Linked DNA regions of Mus musculus. The protein of the gene in region 1 binds, or shares a complex with, the protein of each later gene. Links are inferred from orthologs where the notes say so. Each region holds a gene or a part of one and is shown in the gene's direction. Other genes may lie near its edges.

Region 1 (4,577 bases):
AGCTTGGAGTGACACACATCCACTGCACACAATGTTTCCTTTTCTCAGAATGCGGCTTTTGCCTCTTCTCTGCTTACCCATTCTTAGTCACTGTGTGAGAAGACTCCCAACAACTCCTCAGTTCTTCAAGCTGTGGCCAAGGGACAGTGTTTTAACTTGTTTTAAGCACAAGGAACTTAATCCTGACTCTTACCTCAAAAGGATGGCTGTCAAGTGTGTTTGTAATTGCCTTGGGACCTAGTAGATCTGTAAGACTTATAGATTGGGCGTGGAGGAAAAAAAGCCACCACTGGCTTGGAATTGAGAATGGAGCTGAGTTTTCATTGCTTTCCATATTAAATCCCATAGTGCTGTGCACATGAAATGTACTATTTGTCCTCCTTCCCACTCTCTTGGTTGAAGACTTTTCTGAACATTGTTTTATGTATCCAGCAAGCTGCTAGTCAAACAATATTCCACTGATATGTTTTTTCAATGGAGGAATGAAGGGTGCTCATCTCTCATATTTAGGCTGTTTGGTTTTAAGTCTGTCACATGAGATGGACAAAGGCAAAGTATTTATCTGCTTTAACAACAACAACAACAACAACAACAACAACAAAACAAGCACGTAAACGAACAAACAAAAAACACTAGGGCCCAAACTCCGGGCCTCATGAATGCTAGGAAAGTACCCTATAGCCAAGCTACCAGCTAGCCCTTGTTAGTTTTAATTTCTTATTTTGTGTCGGGGTCTAAGAGGGCCATGCCTGCAACAGATGCCTCCTTTTGTCTCTCAAGTGTTGGGTTTACTGGCCACTCCACGTTAAAAGGGGGCTTTTTAATCTTTTCCAATGCAGAAGTGTGATAGCAAGGTTTCCAAACATGATGGAGTCAACATACAGAGTGACATCTTACGGTTGCCTGCAAATTGAAAACTGATAGTGACTTTAATGCCTGTAATAAACCAGACACCTAGAAACGACAAGAAGAAATTAAATAATAGTAGAAGTTTTTTGTTTGTTTGTTTGTTTGTTTGTTTTTTCTAAAAAAAAAAAAGCTTGTGAAAAATGCTGCTTTATAGACTTTCAGTCCTCTGGCCTTAAAAGTACCAGATTCCTTAAAAAAAAAAAAATGAGTAGTTGTTGAGGAGCATGCAGAACGAGTTTATAGTAGGAAATATAAATTGATTTTATTGCTCTGAAGAAAGATACAGGCTTGAAATGCAACCTTCTAGAGGAAAATTAACCGACTCAGAGATCTCGTATGCTGGTCTTCCGGCGGCAAATTATCTCTGAAGTTTAGCAAAACTTGGGGGTACCATAGGTGCCTGTTGGGTTGGTGGCAGGGATAGAGATCCGAACCTCTCTATCGAATCTGTCTGCGATCCATTGGGATCCTCTGGATCTCAAGATCGGCTTTGGATTAGTCTTGTCTGAACCAGCTGTGGAAAAGGGCGGAAGCGCGCAATTTTAAAGTCTGCGCCGGTGTCCTTAGCCACTTCCGGCGTGGCCATGGCGGCTAACGCGACCACGAACCCGTCCCAACTCCTGCCACTAGGTAAAAGTCTTGTTTGGGGAGCGGTCGGGTTGCTGCAATTCCACGCTGGGGGCCGAGGCTGGGCCACCGCCCCTCCGGGCCCGGCTGTCCGGTCCTTGGCGTCACTGGGCAGACAGACAGACCGTTTTGCCTGTCGGTGGTCGGTGAGGGTCCCACTTAGTGAAGGACGTGCTCGGCCTTTTTGAGCTCGCCAGTAAGATGTCATGAGTCGCGCAGTCCCAGTTCTCAGCTTGGCCTTCTTGGTCTCCAGATCAGGTAGACCCTGTATTGGCTTGGGTAAGGAGTGCGCCACGGCATACAATGAATCTTACAATAGAAATCTGGAAACTAGCCCCGTCGTTCATTAATTCAACAAGCAATTCCCGCGCAGTGCCAGAGAACTGTTGAATAATGAACTTGAATTACAGCCATTGCTTTCAAGATCGCACACCGGCACGCATCGTGCTGAGCAATTCTAAGATGCTGAGATGAACAGGTTGGCCCAGGAGCACAGAGAGTTAAGGTTAAGTGAGAGAAGGAGTGACGGGAAAGCCGGTGTCTGTAATAATGCTTCTCCCTTGTCATGTTTTGGGGCTGGTGAGCTTAGTGAATGTGTCTGTGATTGAAAGTTTTTGCAGTGTTAGATATTGTTTATCGGTACAAACACTGATGAAGAAAAACAGTTATGGTCTCCACCCACCTCATGGTGTGTGTTTTCATACATTAATCAAATAATCTAAATAAAAATCACAGTCCTATTAATTGCAAATAAAGAGTTAAGTGAAAGCTAAGGCAAACATTTGTGCTAACGATTAAACAGAGATTTGTGTAAGATGTAAAATTACCGAATGGTTCCAGATACATATGTAGGAGAGTATGGCCTTTTTTGACATCATTGGGAGGGGAGGCTCTTGATCCTGTGGAGTTTGATGCCACAGCATAAGGAGAATGCTGGAGTGGGTGGGTGGGTGGGGGAGCACCCTCATAGAAGCAATTGGGGAGTGGGGAGAAGGTAGATATGGGAGGGGTGTTGTGGAGGGGTAACCAGGAAGGGGGAATATCATTTGAGATGTAAACAGATGGAATGATTAATAAAAGTAAGTAAATAAATAAATAAATAGCAAAAAACTGAATGTTTTTGCTTATCTTTAATGATAAAAAATAATAAGTGAAGTAGGCATTCAAATGTTGGTCGATCTAATAAGTAGGTAAAATTACCCTTTTCCTTCCACAGAGCTTGTGGACAAATGTATAGGGTCAAGAATTCACATTGTGATGAAGAGTGATAAAGAAATTGTCGGGACACTTCTAGGATTTGATGACTTTGTCAGTATCCTTTTTAAAAGCGGGAATGGTGTAGGTTTCTAAAGATGTATTAATATAAGAAAGAACTATAGACAACCGAAGAATTTCTGGTTATTACATTAAGAATAATTTTGTTTTCCAGGAACTTGGTAGTATTTTAAGAGGTGTGTTTGCTGACAGTTGATAGGGCTCTTGCCAACAACAAACCTTTTGAATTTGCACTATCATAGTGTTGAACATATTTTAAACCAAACAAAAACATATACCTGAATAAACCTTATTTATTTTCTTAACATTAAATTCAGATATGGTGTTGGAAGATGTCACAGAATTGTGAGTAGTATTTAAAAAATTAAAAAAATTTGAGAGGAGGGGAGGAAATCTCTTTTTAATTAAAGATGGTGCCTTGATTACTTTTTTCTATTAATGTGAAGAGACAGCATGACAAAGGTATCTTATGGAAGAATGCGTTTAACTGGGGGCTTGCTTACAGTTTCAGATGGTTAGAGTCCCTGACTGTCCTAGCTAAGAGCTTATATGTTAGATAATAACCAAGAGAGAGAGAGAGAGAGAGAGAGAGAGAGAGAGAGAGAAGTAAATAGAGAACGCGAGCGCACTAAGTGGGTATAATTTAGGTTTTTGGAATCTCAAAGCCTAACAGGGTGATACACCTCCTCCAAAAAAGGCCACACCTCCTAATCATTTCCAGTTTGCCAACAGAGGACCAAGTGGAGGCCATTCTCCTTTAAACCTCCATAGCAGCTTTAGTATGATCGATATAAAAAAAATTACTTGTTGGAAAATACCTTAATACTGAAACGTTATTTACTGGTGTTTGTGAGGTCCAGTTAAAGGATTATTATCTTCATATTATTCCTGAATTTGTAAGAAATTAGTGTGAACAAGCTTTATGGTGAATTATATTTACATGAGTATTATCCAATGGGCAGTTTGTATTCTGTATATATTTACTGTAATTATATGCGTTCACATTGAATCATGTGTAAGAATAACAGCTTTGTCACTAGGGATTGAACCCAGGGCCTTGTGTGTGTGCTCTGCCACCAAGCTATTCTCCTTACCCCAGTAGGACTTTTAGGGAGGGAAAGTGTTTCTAATACTGCCTTTGATTACTTGTTTATCCAGACTCCATTTAATCTATCTTTTTAGTGAAATTACACCAGAAGGAAGAAGAATTACAAAATTAGATCAAATTCTACTAAATGGAAATAATATAACAATGGTAAGACATTAAAACTTTTCTCTGGAAATTATTTTACTTTTGTAGTGTAGGGATTATGGAACTGACTTAAACTTCTATTTCGTTGGCAATGTTCATGGCACTGAGATAGACACACTGAGGATGGGAAGGGAGCCTTGGTGATCTGTGCCTCAGGGCAGCTGTTGAAAGTGCTTTGGTCCTTGTCTTAGTCAGGGTTTCTATTCCTGCACAAACATCATGACCAAGAAGCAAGTTGGGGAGGAAAGGGTTTATTTGGCTTACACTTCCATACTGCTGTTCATCACCAAAGGAAATCAGGACTGGAACTCAAGCAGGTCAGGAAGCAGGAGCTGATGCAGAGGCCATGGAGGGATGTTCCTTACTGGCTTGCTTCCCCTGGCTTGCTCAGCCTGCTTTCTTATAGAACCCAAGACTACCAGCCCAGAGATGGTCCCACCCACAAGGGGACCTCCCCTCTTGATCACTAATTGAGAAAATGCCCCACAGTTGGATCTCATGGAGGCATTTCCTC
Region 2 (3,707 bases), on another chromosome or scaffold:
TTGTCTAATTCCATATCATGCAGTGCAAGTTTCCTACTCGTCTCTGAATATGCTTTCAGTGTAGCATAGCAGAGAAGAAGCAAACTGGGAGACTGTCTTAAGCTTTCTTTGGCTAGGAAGTTATTGTTCTTGATAGTTGACAGTCCAGTCTGATTCTTTGAAAGTTTATCCCTTCTCATAGAATTCTGTTCGGTTAATGTCTTGTGCTCAGATTACACACACAGAGATTTGAAAAGAAACCTCTGTCTAGAGGATAATGGGGGCAGAGCAGAGAGCCAGGAGCATATTAATGAAGTTAAGATCTTAAATGGGACTATTGACTTAGTTAATTGAATTGAATCTGTGGTGTGTTTTTATTCTCTTTTAAAATATCAGTTTTGCTTAGAGATGAGAATTAGAAGCTTACTAGCTTCATCTTTTGAAAAAAATCTTCTGGTCAGATTTTAGAAATTTATGCCATCTTAACACGAGTAAAAATCCACCCGAGCTGTTTTCCTTGAAAGCTCCCTGGCATGTTTGTAGCCGTTTTTCTCTATTAGTTTTGATTTTAAAAATAGTCCAACTCTGACAAAACAGAATGCAGTGTGTTGTAATGCAATATGTTGCTCTCTGTTCCCAAGCTGCTCCTCGCTGAGAGCCACAGCTCTGAGATGGTCTCTCAGGAGCACCTGCTGTCTATTATCTTAACAGATTGTGGAGACTTCCTCTTCACCCTGGGTCCATTCATCTGCTGCAGTAGATGTTGTGAAAGACTGAGACAAACTGCCAGATCCCTATTTCACCGAGCGAGCGAGTGGCTGAAGTAACAAATGTCACCTCGATGGAGGCTCATTTGTCCCTGCATAGTTGCCATGTCTGTCCCGGGCTCCCATAGAAGGGCATTTTGGTTGGAATATTCTAATGCTTATACTTTTGTGAAGGCTTTCAAAGTTGCTGTGGTGAGCACACGTCCCAGGAGGGAGTGACAGTTGGCTGCCTGTCTTGTGGTGGATGCACAGCTCCTCTCATGCTCTGCCCGCCCAGCCTTCATTCACAGGGGCACCGAGGAAAGGCAGGCGCCTTTTGTGTTTAAGTCTATTGAGTTTTGTTTACAGTGTGAATTTTTATATTATGTGTCTGAAGGCTAATGAATAAAGTGATTGTCAGTTCTAAGATATAGCCTGTAATTTTGAATTCTGTCTTACTTTTCTCCAGGGGTCCTGGCCTGCCTGGATGGCTACATGAATATAGCCCTGGAACAGACAGAGGAGTATGTAAATGGACAGCTGAAGAATAAGTACGGAGATGCGTTCATCCGAGGAAACAATGGTAAGAGCTTCCCTTCCATTGAGTGTTCAGAATAGGCCGTTCCTGCGTGTAATAGGGAGCTGCGGGGCGTCTAAGTGTTAAGGTTCTCTTTACTTTTGCTTGTTTGTTGTACTTATATTTTAGGTCTTTAGTATAAACCAGGTCTGTTTGTGAGTGGGAAGAGGATTTTCCATGGAGGTTGGAACTAGAAATTCTCTTTCTCAGTTGCTGAGGGGTATTGGTATACTAAGCAGGCCCATTAGACCAGGGACCCAGAGGGTGTGCGGCACACAACCACATACTGTACTCTCGCAGTGCTGTCTGGGAGTGGAAGCCATCCTGTGCCACAAAACGCCCTTGACATTTAGCCTGTCCTTTGTCCTTTTTCTGTTCAAGATTTAGGTGCCTTTTGTGGAGCTTTGTACCTTTCCGTGTGTCAGAAGTAGGACAGAAGGCGTGGCTCTCAAGTTCTCTTCTTAAAAGCCTTAAAAGTTAGGTCTCGTTAGGAATTAAATATCCTGACTTTTGTAGACATACCTTGCTTGCAGTTCAGTAGAATTTCTTCTATTTCATGTTATTCTTACTTGCCCTCCTCCTTTTGCTTGGAAATATTATGCTCTTAAGTAGCCCCCATAGCAGGAGCCATTCCTACACTGACATCCACCTAGCCTGTCTGGTTTCCCAGGCAGTGGCTTTCCTCCTATTCTGATGGCTCCTACACTTTACTGCCATCCTCAGTAACAGGTGTCATTATTCCTACTACTTGTAGTTGGGTCTTAAAGAGGATCCTAGTTCACTTGATTGAAGTCTGTGCTGGACTCTTTGAGGAAACATCTACTGTTCACTTTGAACAAGCTTGTTCGTATCTGAAGATGTGTGGGATGGGAGAGGGAGGGTACACCTTAGGTGACAGCCTGACCAGAGCCCCTTTTGTCCTATCTCTGTGCAGCACACATTCCACTGTGCTAAGAATGACTGGCGAAAATACATGTTGGATGACACCAAAGGTTTATACTAATCTCAGAATAAGGACTTTGCTTTCTTAAAAATGTTTTCTCATTTTTTTCCTCCTATGGAAATTATCAGAGTAAACCAATTTACAGAGTAAACTGGGGAGATAAACGAAAATAATGCCATTTCTTTCTTTTACATTTTTTTCATGTGTATGAGTGTTTGTCTGCATGTCTGTAAGTACATCATATGCGTGCCTGGTAGTTGAGGAGGCCACACAAGGTCACTGGACTCCCTGGAACTAGATTTACAGTTGGTTGTGAACTGCTTTGTAGGAATTGGGGACCCAGCCCTGTTGCTCCGTAACATCTGCAAGTTACATCTGCTCTTAAGTGATGGGCGTCGTCTCTCCAGACACATGTGCTAGTCATTCTGAATGTGACACCTAACCTAACAGATCTGGCTGATTCGCCCTTTTCAAAACTTGTGATATAGCTATTTACAAATCATTCTTACATTTTAGGCACTTTCACTTTTCTAATTCCCAGTCATAATTTGTAAAGTCAGTAACATGCATAGATAAGACTAGTTATAATCAGGTAAGATGTCCAAGCCCGGTCTAGACGCAAAGCTTGTTTTATAGAGACCTTCATTGCATGGTAGAAACAGTCTTTTAAAGTGTTCGAGGTGTAGGCCAGGACCCATGAATGCCTTTAAAACTGAACCGATGCTGTGCCCCTCGAGTGACTGCTCGTTCTCTTGTCTTTCCAGTGCTGTACATAAGTACACAGAAGAGGCGGATGTGAAGACACCAGGAGGCAGTGCTCTTCAGAGATGGATAGATGAAGTGGTTTTGGTTCTCTTACCATCTTAGTTGGCCTGTTTTCATGGTGGCTGGTGGGGGTTTGTTTGTTTGTTTGTTTAATTGACATTGGAATAAGATAGAGGTATTGCATTACAGATCGACTCTTAAGTTTTTCACATTTATGTCTCAGTCTTTATCATTTCTGCCTGTACAGAATGCTAAAACTAAAACAGTTTGTTTCTCCAGGATTATTTTACCTAAGATTCCTGCCCTGTCATTCCATTGGTTGATTACGTATTCAGCTGACTAAGTGGTACATCCCGGAACCTGTGATCAAGCATTCTGGAGGCATCCTTTGTCTCTTTCTCTACTCACCATCCGTACCATTTAAAGCAGGTAGATAGAAAGTCATATGGTTTCAGCCTTGGGCTATAAAGGGACAAGAGGTCAGAAAATCAGCTGTTTATTTAGTCACCTAGTTAGTGGTGGTATCTCCACAAAGGAGTGCAACTGTAGAGTCAGGAATTGGAAAGGTCAGCCACGTGAGGTGAGACACTGCCTGGAAGCCTCCTGTGCAGTTAGACTCTTCATGTTAACTTGCTCCCTGTTGAGAGTGTTGGTGCAATGGCTGGTTACGCCAGCCAGGGGAGGAGCTCTACTGTTC

Evidence for each region.
Region 2: Lsm5 (region 1) and Lsm6 share a complex: the UniProt entries of both Homo sapiens proteins name them as parts of the precatalytic spliceosome. The link is inferred for Mus musculus from reciprocal best matches to the Homo sapiens genes LSM5 and LSM6.

The regions. Positions count from the first base shown.
Region 1 is NC_000072.6:56,701,585-56,706,161, reverse strand, and holds the start of Lsm5 (U6 snRNA-associated Sm-like protein LSm5), read left to right. Parts: upstream 1-1,462; 5' UTR 1,463-1,493; coding exon 1,494-1,539; intron 1,540-2,752; coding exon 2,753-2,848; intron 2,849-3,128; coding exon 3,129-3,156; intron 3,157-3,993; coding exon 3,994-4,066; intron 4,067-4,577. UniProt on the Homo sapiens protein: Plays a role in pre-mRNA splicing as component of the U4/U6-U5 tri-snRNP complex that is involved in spliceosome assembly, and as component of the precatalytic spliceosome (spliceosome B complex).
Region 2 is NC_000074.6:78,807,548-78,811,254, reverse strand, and holds part of Lsm6 (U6 snRNA-associated Sm-like protein LSm6), read left to right. Parts: intron 1-1,194; coding exon 1,195-1,308; intron 1,309-3,009; coding exon 3,010-3,044; 3' UTR 3,045-3,707. UniProt on the Homo sapiens protein: Plays a role in pre-mRNA splicing as component of the U4/U6-U5 tri-snRNP complex that is involved in spliceosome assembly, and as component of the precatalytic spliceosome (spliceosome B complex).